Rattus norvegicus: one gene and its partners. The main gene of each other region encodes a partner of the protein of the gene in region 2 in a complex. Links are inferred from orthologs where the notes say so. Each region holds a gene or a part of one and is shown on either strand. Other genes may lie near its edges. The genes, in order: Smim20, Surf1, Cmc1 and Timm21.

Region 1 (4,345 bases), on a different chromosome or scaffold from region 2:
GCACACTACTGGGAGATCTTCCCTCCTGTGTTTAATTCATGTAGCACAAGACCCTTCTTTTTTGTGCAATCTTCTCTTCTTACCTAACAAGTTCCTGAGGGGGCCTGAGGAGCAGTCATCTTACTGCACAGTCATTTGTCTTCCTCCCTGCACTTCCGTTGCCCTTGGGACTACATCAGTCATCGGCAACAGGCTGCATCCAGGATTAGTTATCTTTTCATGTATTTGTTCCGTGGTCGGATCCTGGAGAGCAGAGGTCATGTCTTATTCATCTTGTGTCCCCCTTTGCACTTTGCCTGCTGTTCGGGGGGCATAGTGAGATAGTCTATAAATCTGTTGACAGATTGAACGACTGATTTATATGCTGCTAGAGCCAGAGGTAGATGGAATCTTGATTCGACTACAAAACTACAGAGAAAAAGACCTGTGTTCACCACATCATTTCTGAGAGATTGCTGATCTTCTCTGGACTAAATAATGTTGCTGAGGTCAAGATAAATACCTTCTGTGAAGCCCAGCCTCGCTACTGCTGTCATTTCTATTTCTAAGGGATTGAGTGAAGGCCAGAGGAATGTTGGTCTTAGCTGCCCAGCTCCCTGAGGAGATCATATCTTCTGACGAAGGCTCTGTAAAAGGGAACAGGTGCAGAGGTGGGGGAAAGCGATCGTGGGACGAGGGAGCAGGTGTCAGTCTTCAGAGGCTCCGCCCCAGGCAAAGAGCCAGAGCCCTAGGGACCTGCCACTGACTCTGTGATGTTCCCAGGCTTTAATAGATTTTGTTTGCAGCCCTCTGTTAGTTTTGGGAATTCCTGTCTACTTTCTGGAACCCCTCATAACCCAGCACACATAACATGGAGAGCAGAGAGGATGAGGGATCAAAATTAGATCACTTTGGGTGCTCAAATACCCTCCTTAAAAGGCTGCTCTGGTTCAGAAGACACAGTGACTAATTTTGCAAATGCCTTGCAATCCATTCGAACCAGGAGATTTGTTCCTTTGTGACTCGTGCCCACAAACAACTTTCAAAGAGGGAGACCCAGTGACTTGCTCAGCCTTTCAGATGCTTCTAGCCTGTCACCAATCACAAATGTCACAATGTTAATGAAGGGGAAGGGTGAAAAAGTGTTGTTGGTAATAGACGAGTAAAACAGGAGGTGGTAATTGGAGCAGAGAAGGAAGGACGCAGACCCGAGGCGAGTAAGAGGTCAAAAGGGGGCTCGAGAAAGGAGTGTAGCCAAATTTGTGACTGCACGGGCCACCCAGTGTCTCGCCCTCCACGCAGTCAGCCTGAGGCGAGGAGGCGGGGCTCGGTTTGAGTCTCCGCCCCATGCCTCGCCCTTCCTAGAAGACCCCGCCCTCAGATGATCCCGCCCCACTGCGAGGAGTCTTTCAGCCCAGGCCCCGCCTCCGAGCCCAGAAACTCCGCCCTGCACCCAAATCCCGGAAGCGAGAGTTGCTCCGCCTCTTCCGAGCCGGGTCGCGACCTTGAGGCTGGGAGTCGGGTTTCGGAGCGTGCCGGGCCTTCGCCCGCCCTGCAGCCCCCTTTCTCACCATGGCCGCGGCCCGGAACCTGCGCACCGCGCTCATATTCGGAGGCTTCATCTCTATGGTCGGAGCCGCCTTCTACCCTATCTACTTCCGGCCCCTTCTGCGGCTGGAAGAATACCGTGAGTGACCTCTGACCCCGCGCAGTGGCTGCTCCCAGCGCTACCCCGAAGTCTTTAAGCCCCTACCCTAACTGTTCAAGGAGTACTGAGGAAGGAGGTGGACTTAGGAGTGAGGCTACCCAGGGTCCAGGCTCGCCCAGTGCAGCCCGGTGATCTCGGACAAGTGGCCCCACCTCCGACCTTCAATGTTAAGAGTCTAAATAATCAGTTGCAGGATCAGCCACAGAACTGGAGCATCTTAGGGGTCACAGAGGTGATGTGTATGAAAGCAGCCTGCACACAGCAGGTCAACACTAACACTAGTTCACACACAGTTACTATATACTGAATATTTAATGTGTCAGGTTAGTCATATATCGAATCATTGAATTTGCACAGCCTTCCCTTGAGGTAGGTACTACCCATTTTACAGATGGAGGTCACACAGCTAGTAAGTGGTGGGGGAAATGTTCCAACCCAGTCTTCTGCCTGCAGAGCCCTCCCCTCCATTCACCCAGGCTGAGATGGTACTTTAGTGGGAGCCTTGATCATCCTGAGTTGAAAGGTGTTTTTATGGTGCATCATTGCCGTCCCCTAAGATGTCTTGGAGCGGAAATATTTCAAAGCTAAACTGTTAACCTGGGTTTTGAGTTTTTCCTCAAATCGTTTTTTTAGATTCTGCTGGTTTCCTTCGTTTTAAGCTGGTTGCTCACATGACAATGGTGAATGCCGGGGGAGTCATTTTTTTCCTTAATCATTCAGGTCCTATCATTCTAAAAGCCAAACTCTCCTTCCTGGAGACCTATACCTCAGCAAGGATTAGCACTTTGATACATCTGAAGCCATCTGTCAGAGAGGAGAGATGAGGCATTAGAGGATCATTTTGTTCTCCAGGAACCTGAACCATCTTGAAGATGAAGAGGGCCAGCCCAGCCCCCTGGGGAATATTAGCCGGAGCTGAAGCTTGGCGGTTTGACGCTTCATGTAAATGCTCTGACCATCTCTAGTGCTGTAGCACTTGGGTTCCAGAGGCAAAGCAGTTTCAAGTACACACACGAATCCCCTGGCAGCAGCTTTTTACCAGCTCAGACTGAGACGGTCTCTGTGCTTCCTGCCTACAAGTCCTTCTGCATACCCCGTGTGTGGAAGGAACATGGGCTGTGTAGGGTCCTGCAGAATTCGTCTCCATCCTTTTCCCTTGCTGGGTCCATGCCCCGGGCTATTTTATTACAGCTTCTAGAGTTGGACTCGAGACAGAAAGATCTGCTGTGGGTTCCCTTCGAAAACTCCCAGTTCTGAAAACGGGTATGGTTCTTAGCCAGTGTGCTATCTATCTGGAGTTGGTTTTGCTTGTCACAGCTAAGGGACAGAAGGGGAGGTGAGTAGGTTATTAGTATCTACTAGATAGGATCCAGGATAAATTTTCCATGATGCACAGAAGTCACCTGTGAGGAAGCATCAAAGGGTGAGGGCTGCCCAGCTCTTAATCAGTGAGTCAAGAGGAGACATGGCTTCCAGGAATACTCCCCAGTCTTTGGCTGACCAAGTTGCTTTAGACGGGCAGGTCAGGCTCCAAGGCTGTCCATACCCGCTTACCTTTTAGCTTATTAAAATAATTCAGCCAACTTTAACCAAAAGTTGTAACTAAATCTTTCAAGAAAGTCATACTAAACAGCTAATTTTTATCTGAAGTTAATTTTTAACACCCTTCCAAGCACTTCAACTCTACCAAGCCATTTAGTGCTCATAATAACCCTTTGTGGTAGCTGTTAGCTGAATGACATATAGACAGGGTATTTCCTCACTCTGAACCTTGCCCCCCCCCCCAGCCCCCTAGGCTGTGGTGATGGTGTTTACTGAACTGAATTTACAGGCTTAGGGTGAATTAAGTAGAGCATTACTTGTAGAAGTCTCTAGTATAGTCTCATATGAGGAATTGTACAAAAAGCACTTTTAAAAGAGGGCTTTGGTGAGGGACGAGCTATAAGCAGTTGTGTGCCTAAGGCCAGCGACCCAGCCCTAAGCATGTCCAGCTGGCTCAACGTATGCTCAGGAACTGGGAGCCTGCTGTGCAGGTGAGCTTCTCAGCCCATTTCAATCCTCAGTATTTATAGTATTTCACTGCTTTCCTTTCATATACTCAGCCTGGATTTTAGCTGTCACTTGGGTCTGGTACAGTTTAGATGTGGGGCAGAGCTGGGCTGACCCCAGTCTCTTCCCCTGCCACCCTTCTCACTCCGTCCTGGCCATGTGCATCTTGTGTAGTGTTTTAGCCCAAGCATTCTCTGCCCCTTTACTCACTAACATCACTGTTTTATCTTTACTCACCAACTCTTCGTCTTTCCCATGCGCCCCTCGTGCTTTTCTTGTGTGCATTATTATTTTCTTTTTCTTAAAGCTGAAAAGAAATGTGTGCTGTTGAGAGGGTGGATGTATGGCAGCTTATGTGTGTCAATTTCGGAGGACAACTCTGGAGTCATTTCTCCCCTGTTTTAACATAGGCTGTGGGGGTTGGATTTAGGTCATTGGGCTTGCATGGTAAGTGCTTTACCGGCTGAGCTGTCTTGCTGGCCCCGGTTGAGGTCTTTCTGAAATACACCTGGTACTAGTTCTTTGGTGAGAATTTGTAATAGGAACCTGTTTTGGTTTGTTAGGAAATGTGGAGCCCTCTGGGTCGTTGGCACTGGTTCTGCCATTTGT
Region 2 (4,146 bases):
TGTGTGTGCTCAGATTGGCGCCGTTCCCTAGAAAATGTTGAGACCAAGCCAGGGTTTTTATAAATCAAAATATTTTATAGTGGTTAGGAACAGGTTCATTATTTTCACACACCTGGTGTCCGACGCACAAATTTTCGGAACCACAAGTATGATGTAGCTGCACAAAGTCCATACCTGTGGTTGAGAGAGATTAATTTAGTCAGCCTATTCAGTATGTTTGTGGAGGGGGTAACCAAGGCTGCAGGACTGACCAGGTAATGATGTACTGCATGTGCTCATTCCGAAGGGTTACTCTGGTTTGACCTCCAATGGGCCCTCCGGGTGTTGTGCTATCTGTAGAGACAATACAGTCAGTCCTGTCAAGCCCGCCCACCCAAATGAGGTCCTCTTCAGGGCCTGTCAGGCTATCCCCTGCTTCCCACCCCCCCAATCTATACCAGATGTCAGAATGAAAGGAGAGGTAGAAAGTTCACAACATACTGAAGTCTGCATCAATGAAGATGGGGTCCGTTCCTGTTCTCTTGGCCATAGCGTCCAGGTCCCGGTAATACCAGAGACTCCTCTCTGGGTTGTTCTCAGGAACAAAGGGCTTCCTGTTTTCTGTCAGCCTCACTATGCCTACTAGGTCTACTTCTCCCAGAACCTACAAAAGGCAGAATTGCTTTTTACAGAGTCCTGTGAAGACAAGGTGACCTATATACATCTCCACAGCTGAAGCGCCATAGGCCTTACCTGGCCTTGCTGCCTGGTCTCCGGATTCACTTTCTTCCTGGGAACAAACCCTCTATTGACCAGGATGGTGACTCTGGAGCAATGATAAAAGTGTCCCTTTGGGTGAGGAAGAGTTCCAATACAGATGGTCACTAATGTTCACTGAGTATCTATCTACTGGGCAAACAAATGGTTTTCTTATTCTATGGAGTCAGTCTTCACTGCTAAGCCTCAGAGTCTAAACCCTAGCAATGAACTGCCTGAGAAAGTTGCTTAGTGTTGGGAGACCTTAGAAATTATCAGGCAATGTTAGTTGGGTCTCGTGGGTTCCCTAAGGTCTTAGGGTTGATTAAGCATAGTAAGGGGAGCTGACAGGCTTAGCCATGGACTACTCACCCCAAGTCAGAGCAATGGAAAGGAGTAACAACATAGGCCCCACTTTCAGTTGAGGATAATCTGCCAGCATCACGTGCCTCTCGGACAGGGTCCACCATGGTCCGAGGCATTATGTACAACTCCTTGGAGTGGTCAAAGTGCCCCCTGACCTTCACTGGCCTGTACTCCAAATTTTTCAGTTCCATTGGGCTACAAGGAGAAAGGGGGAAGGGCTGTGGGCAAAGCCAGGCTTGTCAGAGTAGATCCCTAAGCAGAAAGAAAGGCTCGTTAAGGGCTGGAGAGATGGCTCAGTGGTTAAGAGCACCCGACTACTCTTCCAGAGGTCCTGAGTTCAATTCCCAGCAACCACATGGTGGCTCACAACCATCTGTAAAAAGATCCGATGCCCTCTTCTGGTGTATCTGATGACAGCTACTTATATATAATAAATGAATAAATCTTTAAAAAAAAAAAAAAAAGGCTCGTTAAGGATCAGACAGGTTTCGCCCTCCATAGAGATGGTCAGCAACCTTTGATGCCAAATGGAAATAGATAACCAGAGAAGGGAAGTGTGGCTACTTTACATACACTAACAAAAATGTGAGTTATACTCGACTTAAGAGCCAGCCTGAAGGGCAAAACTTTCAAATTTGATTTGAGGGGGGCAGTACAATCTTAGAGGACGTGTTTTAAAGACCATCACCTTCATACTATCATCCACCAGTGCTACAACGAACTCGCCGCTATGGATACCTTGTGACCTGAAAAGGGAAATATGGCACCGAAAATAAACCTCTATTTCCTGTGCCTTTGGCAACTTCATAAAGGCAGTCTAGCGGGAAACGGGGTTCCTGTCATAGGACAGAGATATACACCAAACAGAAGCAAGGGCCCCATTGCTGCTCCTTAAGTGGGATGGATAACGTGGGCAGCCACACTCACTCTGCAGGTAGAGGGATGGGCTCAGCCATGACTCGCGACTCTAATTCTGCAATCAGTTTCAGCTTCCATTTCCGGCGCTGGACCTAGAGAAACAACGTGAGCTAAGCAGGTATCAGTGGGGTCCAAGGCTCAGAGCCACCCAAATTCGACCCCAGTCTTCACCTGCCAAGTCCCCAGACCAAAAGCAGTAGCAGGGATGAAAAGCAGGAACCACTGGAGAAAAGAGTCGTCCTCTGCTTTAGCGGCGGCTGTTTCAGCAGTAGAACTGCAACACCTGTGTGGCCTACAGACCATCCCTGGAGGGAGTTTTACAACACTGGCATGGGGTCAGAAGTCCTAAAATAAACAGAACTGGGTGGCCAATTCCTCGAGAGGACCGGTTATACCCCAGAGAATGTATGGCAAAGGGGGCAATTAACAGTACCGGTGCCCAACCCTCTCCCGGTGCAATACACTCAGTATTGTATACACCACAACGGGCTGAAAAGACGGGTACTCCCAACCGCGCCCAGGTCTGAGCCCTTCTCACCTGAGCGAACAGAAAACCCAAAGACGCTCCTTCTGACCGCGCAGAACGGGGCCTGCGGGGACCAGACAGGCCGAGGTAAACCCAGAGACCCCGCCTGTCAAGCGCGAGCACCTGACATCGTCCAACCCAGCCCCGCTCAACTTCGAGCTATGTCTTCTTGGGCAGGGTCCTCCTCGGCTCCACTCCACTCCAGGCCCGGCCCTCCCGGTCCCTCTTCTTGGACAGGATCCTCTCTGAACCCCCGCTTACCGGCCCCGCGCAGGCCCACTGCGGCCATCGCGTTATCCGACTTCGCAGGACAGTCAAAGCCATTACAGCAGCCATCTTTGAACACTTCCGGGGCGGAGAAACCTGCTTCCTTCCGGGACCGCGCTCCGCCTCACGTGGTGGCTGTGGCGTCAGATGGCGTCTCCGATCATGGACGAACCACCTTCTGATGTGCTTGCATTTCTGCGTCAGCACCCCAGCTTGAGACTGCTGCCCAACACCCACAAGGTCGAAAGAGAACCGTGACGGGGAAAAGTAGGGCCAGGAAGGAACGGGACCTGGAAGGATTGGGACCTCGGAGGACCGTGGCCGGAAAGGAAGGGGGAAGGAGAGGGCAGTGCAGGGAAGGGGCGGAGCTGGCAAGATCCACCTTCTGACCAGCGGTTCATCCACAGGTACGCTGCTCGCTAACCGGTCATGAGCTTCCCTGCCGTCTGCCGGACCTCCAAGTCTACACTAGCGGCAAGAAGTACCAGCGGCTCTCAAGTGCCTTCTCTGCCTTCGATTACACAGCGTTCGAGCCACACATTGTGCCCAGCACAAAGAATCGGTACGTAGATGGCCGGCCAATGCCTAGGTGCAGGGCCTGTGCCCCCTGCTGCACACAGAGGCCTCCCACTGTGACACTTTGAAGACTAGGGCTTGTGGCCCTTGCATATAGTTCCCTGAAGCCAGGCTGGGCAGTGCCAGTTTCACTGTTTGGGAATCCTATTGGGTTGTGTGGTTGATATATCCTCACATAGAACTCCCTGAGCTGTTGGATCCTCAAGCATGCACCATGGAGCAGTGTGGAAACTGCAGGGTTTTTTTGGTTTTTTTCCCCTTGAGTGATAATCTGGGTCCTTAATCCCACATACTGAGTGGAACTGTTTGAGAAGTTGTTTTTGAAGGTAAGCCTGTGTTGCTTGGTTGGCCTGGAACTCACTATGTAGACCAGGCTGATCTCAAAGTCTGCCTCTGCCTCCTGATTCGTGAGATTAGGTAGCCATGCCCTTTTCAAAGTCCAGACACTGAGACTAAAAGCAGAGCAGCCCCAACAGACCTTTATCTGTTTTCGGCATGGAGCCATGATGGACCCCACAAGTCTGGGTCTTTGGTGTGCACTGCCCTTCCATACCCAACCTGTTTACCCTGTAGGCACCAACTGTTCTGCAAACTCACCCTGAGGCACATCAACAAGTCCCCAGAACATGTGCTGAGGCACACTCGGGGCCGGAGGTATCAGAGAGCACTTCAAAAATGTAAGTCACCCTCCAGAAGCTCAGGCCTTAGGATGCATGCCCCCTGCCCCCAAAAAGCTAGAAGGGTGCCTTGCACATGAT
Region 3 (4,227 bases), on a different chromosome or scaffold from region 2:
GGATCGTACAGACAGAGCAATATGTCTGAGCCGTCTAACAAGTACTTCAGTGTCAGAGGATCTAAGAGCGCAGTGCAGCTCAGGCAGGCACCAGTACAAATCCAATCCCTCTCACTACCACTTTGCTTAGTACTTTGTCCTTTCTCTAGTCTCTTCCACTTATCACAGTTGAAAACAATAAGTATAACTGTAATAATAATAATAATAATAATAATAATAATAATAATAATAATAACAATAATAAAAAGATAAACCTTCAGGGAGTGTGTTATCAACTCTGTAAAAGGGAAAGTTTAAAGAAAAGTCACATGAGAATACAGATGCTGCCTACATCTCACTCTTGGGTCCAGACTTTGAGAAAAACTGAAAGGAAACAGAATTAAAACGCTAGAGCTGGAGAGATAGCTCAGTGGTTGAGAGCACTGACTGCTCTTCCAGAGGTCCTGAGTTCAATTCCCAGCAACCACATGGTGGCTCACAACCATCTGTAATGGGATCTAATGCCTTCTTCTGATGTGTCTGAAGACAGCTACAGTGTACTTATATATAATAAATAAATAAATCTTTAAAAAAAAAAGAATTAAGATGCTTTATAGTAGAATTCAAGTCCCTAAACCAACGAGGTGTTCACCTCAAGCCCACTTTGACAACCTTCTTCCTTATGGTTCTTCTCGCCACTCTGCCCTGTCAGTTCAATATTTTTTCAAGCATTTGCCACATTGAATGCCCACCATGGCCCCAGCTCCCAGCTCTTTTCATGGTAGCTTCTTCTCTTGATATTTTAAAGCAAATGGTGTTTCTCCATAAAAGCTCTTAACAAAAGTAGCTCTCTCCTCACAATCTACTTCATGTCTTTTAGTGTCTGTGAACAAACAGGGAGAGGCTACTTTAGGTGGGGGTCCTTGTTTGTCCTATATGTTACTGTTTCCTAGGTTACAGAACAATATACACCAAGAACACTGAGCCACCAACAAGTTTACCAAAAGGTACTAAAATAAAGGCATGGTTGACAGTCTGGGTTGAGAAAGGAACCAAGTGGTTCGTAACAAAACTTGGTCTTATCAGACAATAGCTATGACGCCTTGAGCACACTGCACATTCAGACGGGGTTAAGAGAACTAGAAACCCGTAGGAGCAAGTATGAACTGTTTGTTTCTTACACTTTCTCATCTGTCTAAATAAAGATCCATCCAGGCCTTTAGCTCAGTGGTTCCCAACCTGTGCATCACCATCCTTTTGGCAAACTTCTATCTCCAAAAAAATTTACATCACGATTCCTCACAGTAGCAAAATTATAGTCATGAAGTGAGGTAGCAATGAAAATAATTCTATGGTTGGGGGGGTCACCACAACATGAGGAACTGTTAAAGGGTCTCTGCATTGGGAAGGCTGAGAACCACTGCTTTAACCTGAGTGTCCCTATCCCTATCTGTATGAGTATCATTTTCAAGGTCATGAAATACCAAAATTATATGCACTTTACCTGAACTTCCCTTACCCATGCTTCATTACTGCCTCCTACCTTCCAATCAAACTTGTCACCCTCAAATCAAGTAAGACTCTGTGTCTTACCACATGATCACTGCTCAACGATGCCGCTTCAAACTTCAGTCCAAATATTTTGCTTCAAATTGATAAGATCCGAGCGGTGTTCCGCAACTGCTTTATGCTTCAGATTATACTAATACACTTACAGACTCTGGTCAATTACGTGAGGTGCGAAGTAAGCAGGGTGCTGCAGTAGATGAACCAAGGTTGCTTTAGACGGTGCTAAGTTCTATAAGGAACTGACATTTTAATTCAAAGCTGACGGACAAAGGCGCCAGCTAGGAAAGAACTAGGAGGGGTGACTAAAAGCAGCGGCTTAACCTTTCTGAGCCTGCTTCCTACTCTGAAAATGGAGATAAAAGAACCAACCAGGCAAGTACTATTCTGGGACAACTGAATACATTGGCTTGATAATAAAATGACAAGTTATTCGAATGCTATACCTAGTTTCCATCCTATGTGAGGGCTACATGTGACCTTTCGCTTCAGATTCTTCAAAGGTTTGAAAGTCTCTAACCTATCAATACCTGGAGTTTTCCTATCCATTAAGACTAGACTCATTACCTTTCTGTCTCTGCCTTTTCACCGTTACTTAAATCAAGTAAAATACTGGGAGGGCGCTTTCTGAAAAACTTCCTGAGGACCTGAACTCGACTGCAAACGTAAGTGATGGGAATCATGCAAATTAAAACGACACGGAAGATGTATTGGAGAGCCTTTCCAAGAAAATGCCTCTAGCCAGTCAGTCGTGGAGCGTTTGTTACACTGACCTACCAGGATGAACTTGGGAGAAGGCATAAAATTACCGGAAACAGAATGTCAAACTGTGCACCAGAGTGAAACTTCAGTTTTCTGGGACAACTTTGTCTACACCCGATACTGTTTAAAAGGAGCCTGTGCCCCAAAGGAGGAAAGAAAAAAAAGCAAAAACAAAAACTAGGCGGTGAAGAGACTGAAGAGATAGTGAAAGTTGACACAAGGAATCCAACGCCCCTCACCGAGCAACTAGAGCCCCAGCGAGCAGCAGATGGACGGCCTGTCACCGAGAGTGGAAACCCAGCCGCCGGGCTGAATGAGGTGCTAACTGCGGAAGCCACGCATCCTTGGAGCACCTGACCCCTGGCGCCTAGGCCCTCACAACCACGCCGACCCCAGTACCTGCGGGGTCCAGCGCCATCTCGGAGGGCGGAGAAGCAGCAAGCCACTCGCCGGCTCTGGAGCCGGGACGGGGAGGAGCCTAAGCTGGACTGCGCGCGCAGCCGCTCGCCCGCCCGCAGCTTCCCGCAGGAGAGCGGGTGCGCGACCTCCGCTGTGAGAACAGACCACACCCCCTTCCCCTGTTCCTACCCTCGGTTTGTTCTACGCCTGCGCCCGACTGCCCTCTACGGGAATCCTGCGGTAGAGTGGGCGGGTTTCTCGCGGAATGCCCAGGAGGGGGCGTGGCCACGCATGCGCCTTCAAGAGGCTGCCTCAATGTGTGCTGCCTGACTTAGCACGTGGGATTTGAGACTTGGGCCTCTTATCTCAAAGGTTCTGAATGTCCTTCTGTCCCTGTCGGGTTTCGGCCTCAGTCTTGAGTGCCAGAGGAAAAGTAATAAAAATAAAGCCCTTATTCTTGACGCGTTGTTCCCGGGAGGAAAGCCACCTGCAGGAGGAGTCCTGTCCAGGAGACGTGTTTTGTGAACACACCCTGGGCAGTCCAGTCTGGGTGATGTGATGGATCTTGACTCTCCTTGAAAGCTGTGATCTGTTGCTGACATAAGGGAAAGGAACAGTTGCCCGAAGGTAACTTTCAGGGCGGCCCTTAGGCCTGTTTCCACTCACTGACCGACCTTCAGTTCTGGCTGAGTCTATCAGATCTCCATTTAATGAACTCAAGCCTCCAAATGGTGAGTAGGGCCAGGGACAGATGTTTGGGAAAACGTGGAGCAGCTGCCTCTTCGCTACGAGGGATTTAAGGCTTTCAAAATGATTCCCTTCCCACCTACCTGCAGTCCCTTCTTCCCTGCTGCTGAGTCTGCCTGGTCAGTTGGCAGAAAGGATACCCCAGTTGAACAGGCCTGGGAAAGTGCGTCTCTGCTCAGCAGGGCTCCGGTTTAAGGGCCTGTTTGGACATAACGCTCTCATTACAGCTAGAGGCTGAGGTGCCAAGGTGGAGAATTAAACCTTCACTCAGCCGGGCAGAAGTCGGTTCTTTTACTTGTATGTTTTATAAATGTGCTGAGAAACACACAGAAGCTGCTATGGGTCCCCTTTTTATTTTGCTGGAAGCGGATGAGTTAGAAAGACCAAAACGACGTTTTGTTGCTGCCGTTGTTGGATTAGGCAGATGCTCAAGCTGACCACTCGCTGTGTGTAACAAATACACCTGAAGATTTAGAGACTATGAGATGAGTTATAAAATCAGAAGTCGGGCATCCAACACTCAAGTAATCAAACCACATAGGCAAAACATATCTTGATAAATGGGATGCTTTTGGTCTGCTTCAGTTAGAACTGTGTACGCTCTCTTGAATCCTGTAGCCACGCCTGCGGCGTGAAAATAAGTTCCAGTGTTTTATTTCTGGACTTCGGTTTCATTTCCAAGGTCATTCCTAGGAATACACTCAAAACAGAACACACCTCATAAACTTTGAGGGACCTCTTCTATAGTTTCTGCCATGACTGTCACAGGAAACA
Region 4 (4,378 bases), on a different chromosome or scaffold from region 2:
AGGGAATAAATATCCAAAGAATTAATAGGTCAAGCCTAGCAGTGTTAGATTAAAATTATTAATGGTAAGGCAGGCATATGGCCTGGCAAAAAGTGGGACCTTAAACATACGACCTGTTGAAGTCTAAGGACCAGCTAGGAAGCTACGATCCTAATAATACTTCATTCTTTCATGTATCCTGTACGGTTCTACTTGTGTTAATCTGAACATGCCCGAGAGACTGAGCCTGGGATTACTAAAACAGTTGGGGTGCCTCCTGGAGACCACTCTTCCCTGGATGCCCACTGACTACAGTGGAGTGCCCTAAATGTAGTCTCTGTCAACTTTTAACTCTCTCAGCTACACTCTGTGGTTTAGGACACAAAACAAAGGATGCCAGAGACACTGGCATAGCGGGGAGGAGGAGAGCGTGCGCAGTGACCTTTGGGTGCTAGGGTCAAAGTGCCTCAGAGAACAGAGACCTAAAAACAGAAAAGCAACCCACTGCCTTAGTACAGTGTGGAGGCATGGGCTTCACAAGGGATTCATTCCTCCTCCCCCACACGATCATCAGAAAACTAACCTCAGGGTGTGTTCTGCATTTCCCTAAGGCTTTCCCATAGATGATGTTAGGACTGGATGAGGAAAACAGTTCTTTGAAGATCGTATATAACAAGCTGCCTGAAAAAGCAGAGGGAGAACGCAGTGAAGCGAAGCAGTAGGGTGAGAGGCTGTGGAAAGGTATTCAAGTGCTTGCTGGGTCTGTAACCTGTAATGCTGACTCCAAAGAGCACCACTATCAGGTAGGTGACGTCTCTCCCGGCTTCTTTCACTGCAAAGAGAAAACGTCAATAAGTTACACGTGTATCCACAGAGCTGTGGCCTCTGGAGGCTTCAGGTGTTCCTAGCAGGGAGCAGTTGGGTCCAGACCTAGAGCACTGCTCTCAGTAGCTCATCTCAAATGCTCCCAAGCTTCAGAAGAACCCCTCACTCCAGTGCAAACCAGGCCTAGTTCTGCTTAGCTCCCAAGGCCAGAAGAGAACAGACCTGTTTAGTGTGGCCTGGCTATGCACGGGGCCTAGGAACCTCTGGATTTCTGTCGCTGATAGATACTGCTTCTGTTCTAGTAACGTAAAACCCTTATCGATCTCTCAGAGTGAGAATGGTCACAAGATGAGGCAACGTGTACACAGGTCTATCCTGTCCAGATCAAGGCAACTCTTAACCCATCCCAGAGACCCCACTGAGTGGTGCACAAAACCAAAGAACTGAGCTTGGAATTGAAATGTAGTTGGTTGGGAAGATTGATGAATCAAATAAACTTACAGAGATTGTTTTTATTTTTTTCTGCACTAAGTAAGTATATGAACACATGGATTAAAGAGCAGTTTGGGGAGATAAGGTAATCAATCAAAGGGGAGTGAGTACAGACACATTATTTACATAAATGCATGTTATATGTGAAGAGCTACATCACAAGCAAAGTCTGATTATGAGAGCGCTTTACTTCTTTGGTCATTTATATGTATGTACAGTCACATGAGGAACCCAGATTTTTCTAACTTCAGTCTTTAAATTTTTATTTTTTCCAAGAAATCAAAGTTTAACAAGTGGTATTTTTTTTCCCTCTACTTTTTTCATAGGTACAATGACATATAATAAAATTACTTATTTAGAAGTCATTTCTAGAACATACTTTTGGTTTTTCAGTACAGGCTGTGAACTTGAAATGTGTTCAGGGGGCTGGAGAAATGGCTCAGTGGTTAAGAGTATTTGCTGCTCTTGTAGACATCCAGAATTCAGTTCCCAGCAACCATATCTGGTGGCTCACAATTGCCAGTAACTTCAGCTTAGGGGCATCTGATGACTTTTTCTGGCTTCCTTCTTTACCTATACTCATGTGTATACACACACACACACACACACACACACACACACACACACACACCAGCAACACTAGCAATAATAAACAAATCTTTAAAGAAAACACTACTTCAAATAATAGAAAGATTGTCATCTACCAAAAATCGTAGATATTATGGGACTGATCTCAGCAGTAATTGCTTCACAAATCCTATCTCTTTACCAGGCTCTGAGCTGAGGGCTGGAACACGAATCTTTCTATTCCACTGTCCATAATGTCATAAACTACATATCAGTAGACACCGCATGAGGCCCCAAATTGAGAGGACAATAACAACTAGACTAAGACATAACCATATTTTTTCCTGCAATCCCAAATCAGGTCATTGGCCTAAACGCCTCAACCTCCTGTTCTCCCCAACACTCTGTCGTGACCTAATAATTTCCTATTCCTTGTGTTTCTGCAGTTCTCCACCTCTCTTTCAGTAGGTCCTATACTGGAGTGCAGACACTCCCAGAAGTGGGGAGCACAGGAGCTGACAGTCTTAAGTCCTAGATACTATTTTTTTCTTTTTACCTTTCTGAGATGTTGAGACACCGGTTTCCTCTCTTTGATTCCTGTTAATAGACACTTGCTTGCTACTGTCCTCCTTTGCTTTCCGGGGGTCCGGTCCTTGTGTCCAGAAGGTTTTCTGGGTGAACCCAAGGACAGTTCTAGGTTGCACTGTTTTCTTCTGCTCTCGCAGCCCCCATCTCAAAGGCTGGGTTTTCAAGCAAGCTTTGGTGAGTACAAAGTGTGGCAACAACAACTGCCTGCCCAACGACCCGTGCAGCTTCTCCGCATGCCGAACAACTCGTAGAAAAGCACAAATCATGTTCACAAACACTGTGAGACTTCCGAACTGCAACTTCTAAAGGTTCGTAATCCACACACTCAGGCGGACAAGACGTGAAACCAAACCATTCACATTACATCCTGTGTCAGGCGAATATCAAGATGAATAATCTACAAGAGAAGTTAGGTACACTTTATTTTTTTTCTCTCTCTTGAATTAAAATGCCCTATTTACCGTCCTACTGACATTCACATCTTGCCCGCCATGCTTTCGCAAAGCATCCCGGGAAACACCAGACATCCCGGGAATCGCAGTTTAATGGCTTCACACTTTCCTGTTCAACTGCAGGAAAGGCAGGCAGGATGGACTACATCTCCCATAATGCCATGCAACAAGAAAGGGCCCATCCTGTTTTCTCAGACGCTTCTGCGCGGATCGTTGCGCGTGCGCTGTGGCCCGGTTGAGGCAGGCATGTTATTGGTATCCCTGGTTCAATGGCCTCTTGGCTTAGACAGAACTTGCAAAAGTCGGATTAGTTGCAAATTGCGTGTCCTCATAGTCTTTTTATAGAGGACTGTGTCAACTGGGAAGTTCATGTCGTGGGTTTGCCATAGTTATTAGAAAGTGACAATTTCAGCGCTTGTTTCTTCTCAGGAAGACAGTTAGCAAACGTAGCTGAGCCGGGCCATAACAGGCTAATGGGCCAAGAACCGGCGTCAGAATGACTGGGGCGTGGGAAAGAAGCCGGGCCCGGGATTGTCCCGAACAACGACGTTCGAAGAGCAAAGGAGGTGTTCACAGAGAAACCCAGTCTACGCATGCGCGAGCCCGGTCCGGGTTTTGCGCACGCGTGAGGGGCAGTGCTGGGCTTCTCTGTCGCTCCTCCAGAAGGTACCTTTGGGTCTCCATGGCGACCGGACGCGGTCGGATGCTGAGGCCTGGAAGTTTCGGCCTCCAGGCTCTGCGAGGGTCCCTTCATGGTGGGGGCACTACCTGGGGCAGCGCGGGGCTGGCCGCGGGGCGCTCCGGGTTCAGGTGACGCTCGGGGCTCACGGGTGGGTCTCTTCAGTATCCCACCCCACAGCTCTTTCTAGTATCAGTTCTACTATAGCATGTGACTCCTGCTACTTTTAAACGCGGGAAACATTAGAATGGCAGAGGGAAACCTGTCTATCCTGGAAACTAGGGTACCTCAAGTTAGAACACAAGTAAAGTTACTTCCTAAGGAAGTGATGTATGTTACCAAGCATTCCATTCATTCATTGGTAGGCCCTATGGCTCTAAGGCTATTTTCAGTTCCTGGGAGACTACAGTAGTGCACATGTGAAGACAGGAGCGGACCTACTGCTCGCCCGGAACAAGGCTTTTATGTAGTATTCTTGCATTTTAGTGATTTTAAAATGAGAATCAGCCGTAGAGCTTTTAAACTCGGAGTAGAAAGTATTCATCAAAACCTAATGCTAAACAGGACATTTTGTGCACCTCTCCCACCATGCCAAGTTTTCTAGACAGTCACATTTTGTTATGCAACTCTGTTCTGGTTCGTTGTATTCCCATTACGTGTAAGGAAGAGCCTGCAAGATGACCGTTCTGTCTTCAAGGTTATTTTTTCATTTTTCTCAAGGAGTGCCTTTAAGCCAAAGTATGTTCCTCTCTTACAGCGAGAGAATGGAATTTTAGGACACGGGAAAAGGGCCTCC

The links.
Region 1: Surf1 (region 2) and Smim20 share a complex: the UniProt entries of both Homo sapiens proteins name them as parts of the MITRAC (mitochondrial translation regulation assembly intermediate of cytochrome c oxidase complex) complex. The link is inferred for Rattus norvegicus from reciprocal best matches to the Homo sapiens genes SURF1 and SMIM20.
Region 3: Surf1 (region 2) and Cmc1 share a complex: the UniProt entries of both Homo sapiens proteins name them as parts of the MITRAC (mitochondrial translation regulation assembly intermediate of cytochrome c oxidase complex) complex. The link is inferred for Rattus norvegicus from reciprocal best matches to the Homo sapiens genes SURF1 and CMC1.
Region 4: Surf1 (region 2) and Timm21 share a complex: the UniProt entries of both Homo sapiens proteins name them as parts of the MITRAC (mitochondrial translation regulation assembly intermediate of cytochrome c oxidase complex) complex. The link is inferred for Rattus norvegicus from reciprocal best matches to the Homo sapiens genes SURF1 and TIMM21.

What each region holds. Positions count from the first base shown.
Region 1 is NC_086032.1:61,932,643-61,936,987, reverse strand, and holds the start of Smim20 (small integral membrane protein 20), read left to right. Parts: upstream 1-1,455; 5' UTR 1,456-1,551; coding exon 1,552-1,666; intron 1,667-4,345.
Region 2 is NC_086021.1:30,639,814-30,643,959, forward strand, and holds Surf1 (surfeit locus protein 1), read right to left. Parts: upstream 2,898-4,146; 5' UTR 2,882-2,897; coding exon 2,807-2,881; intron 2,610-2,806; coding exon 2,558-2,609; intron 2,345-2,557; coding exon of another isoform or gene 2,325-2,344; coding exon 2,191-2,324; intron 2,112-2,190; coding exon 2,029-2,111; intron 1,297-2,028; coding exon 1,108-1,296; intron 806-1,107; coding exon 733-805; intron 644-732; coding exon 481-643; intron 334-480; coding exon 252-333; intron 175-251; coding exon 105-174; 3' UTR 60-104; downstream 1-59. Other genes in the region: Surf2 (surfeit locus protein 2), read left to right, coding at 2,960-3,052, 3,220-3,374, 3,962-4,065. UniProt on the Homo sapiens protein: Component of the MITRAC (mitochondrial translation regulation assembly intermediate of cytochrome c oxidase complex) complex, that regulates cytochrome c oxidase assembly.
Region 3 is NC_086026.1:126,732,679-126,736,905, forward strand, and holds the start of Cmc1 (COX assembly mitochondrial protein homolog), read right to left. Parts: upstream 2,886-4,227; 5' UTR 2,726-2,885; coding exon 2,707-2,725; intron 2,696-2,706; exon of another isoform or gene 2,547-2,695; intron 1-2,546. UniProt on the Homo sapiens protein: Component of the MITRAC (mitochondrial translation regulation assembly intermediate of cytochrome c oxidase complex) complex, that regulates cytochrome c oxidase assembly.
Region 4 is NC_086036.1:80,591,308-80,595,685, forward strand, and holds the start of Timm21 (mitochondrial import inner membrane translocase subunit Tim21 precursor), read right to left. Parts: upstream 2,931-4,378; 5' UTR 2,718-2,930; coding exon 2,420-2,717; intron 812-2,419; coding exon 749-811; intron 661-748; coding exon 563-660; intron 1-562. Other genes in the region: Fbxo15 (F-box only protein 15), read left to right, coding at 3,400-3,569. UniProt on the Homo sapiens protein: Participates in the translocation of transit peptide-containing proteins across the mitochondrial inner membrane.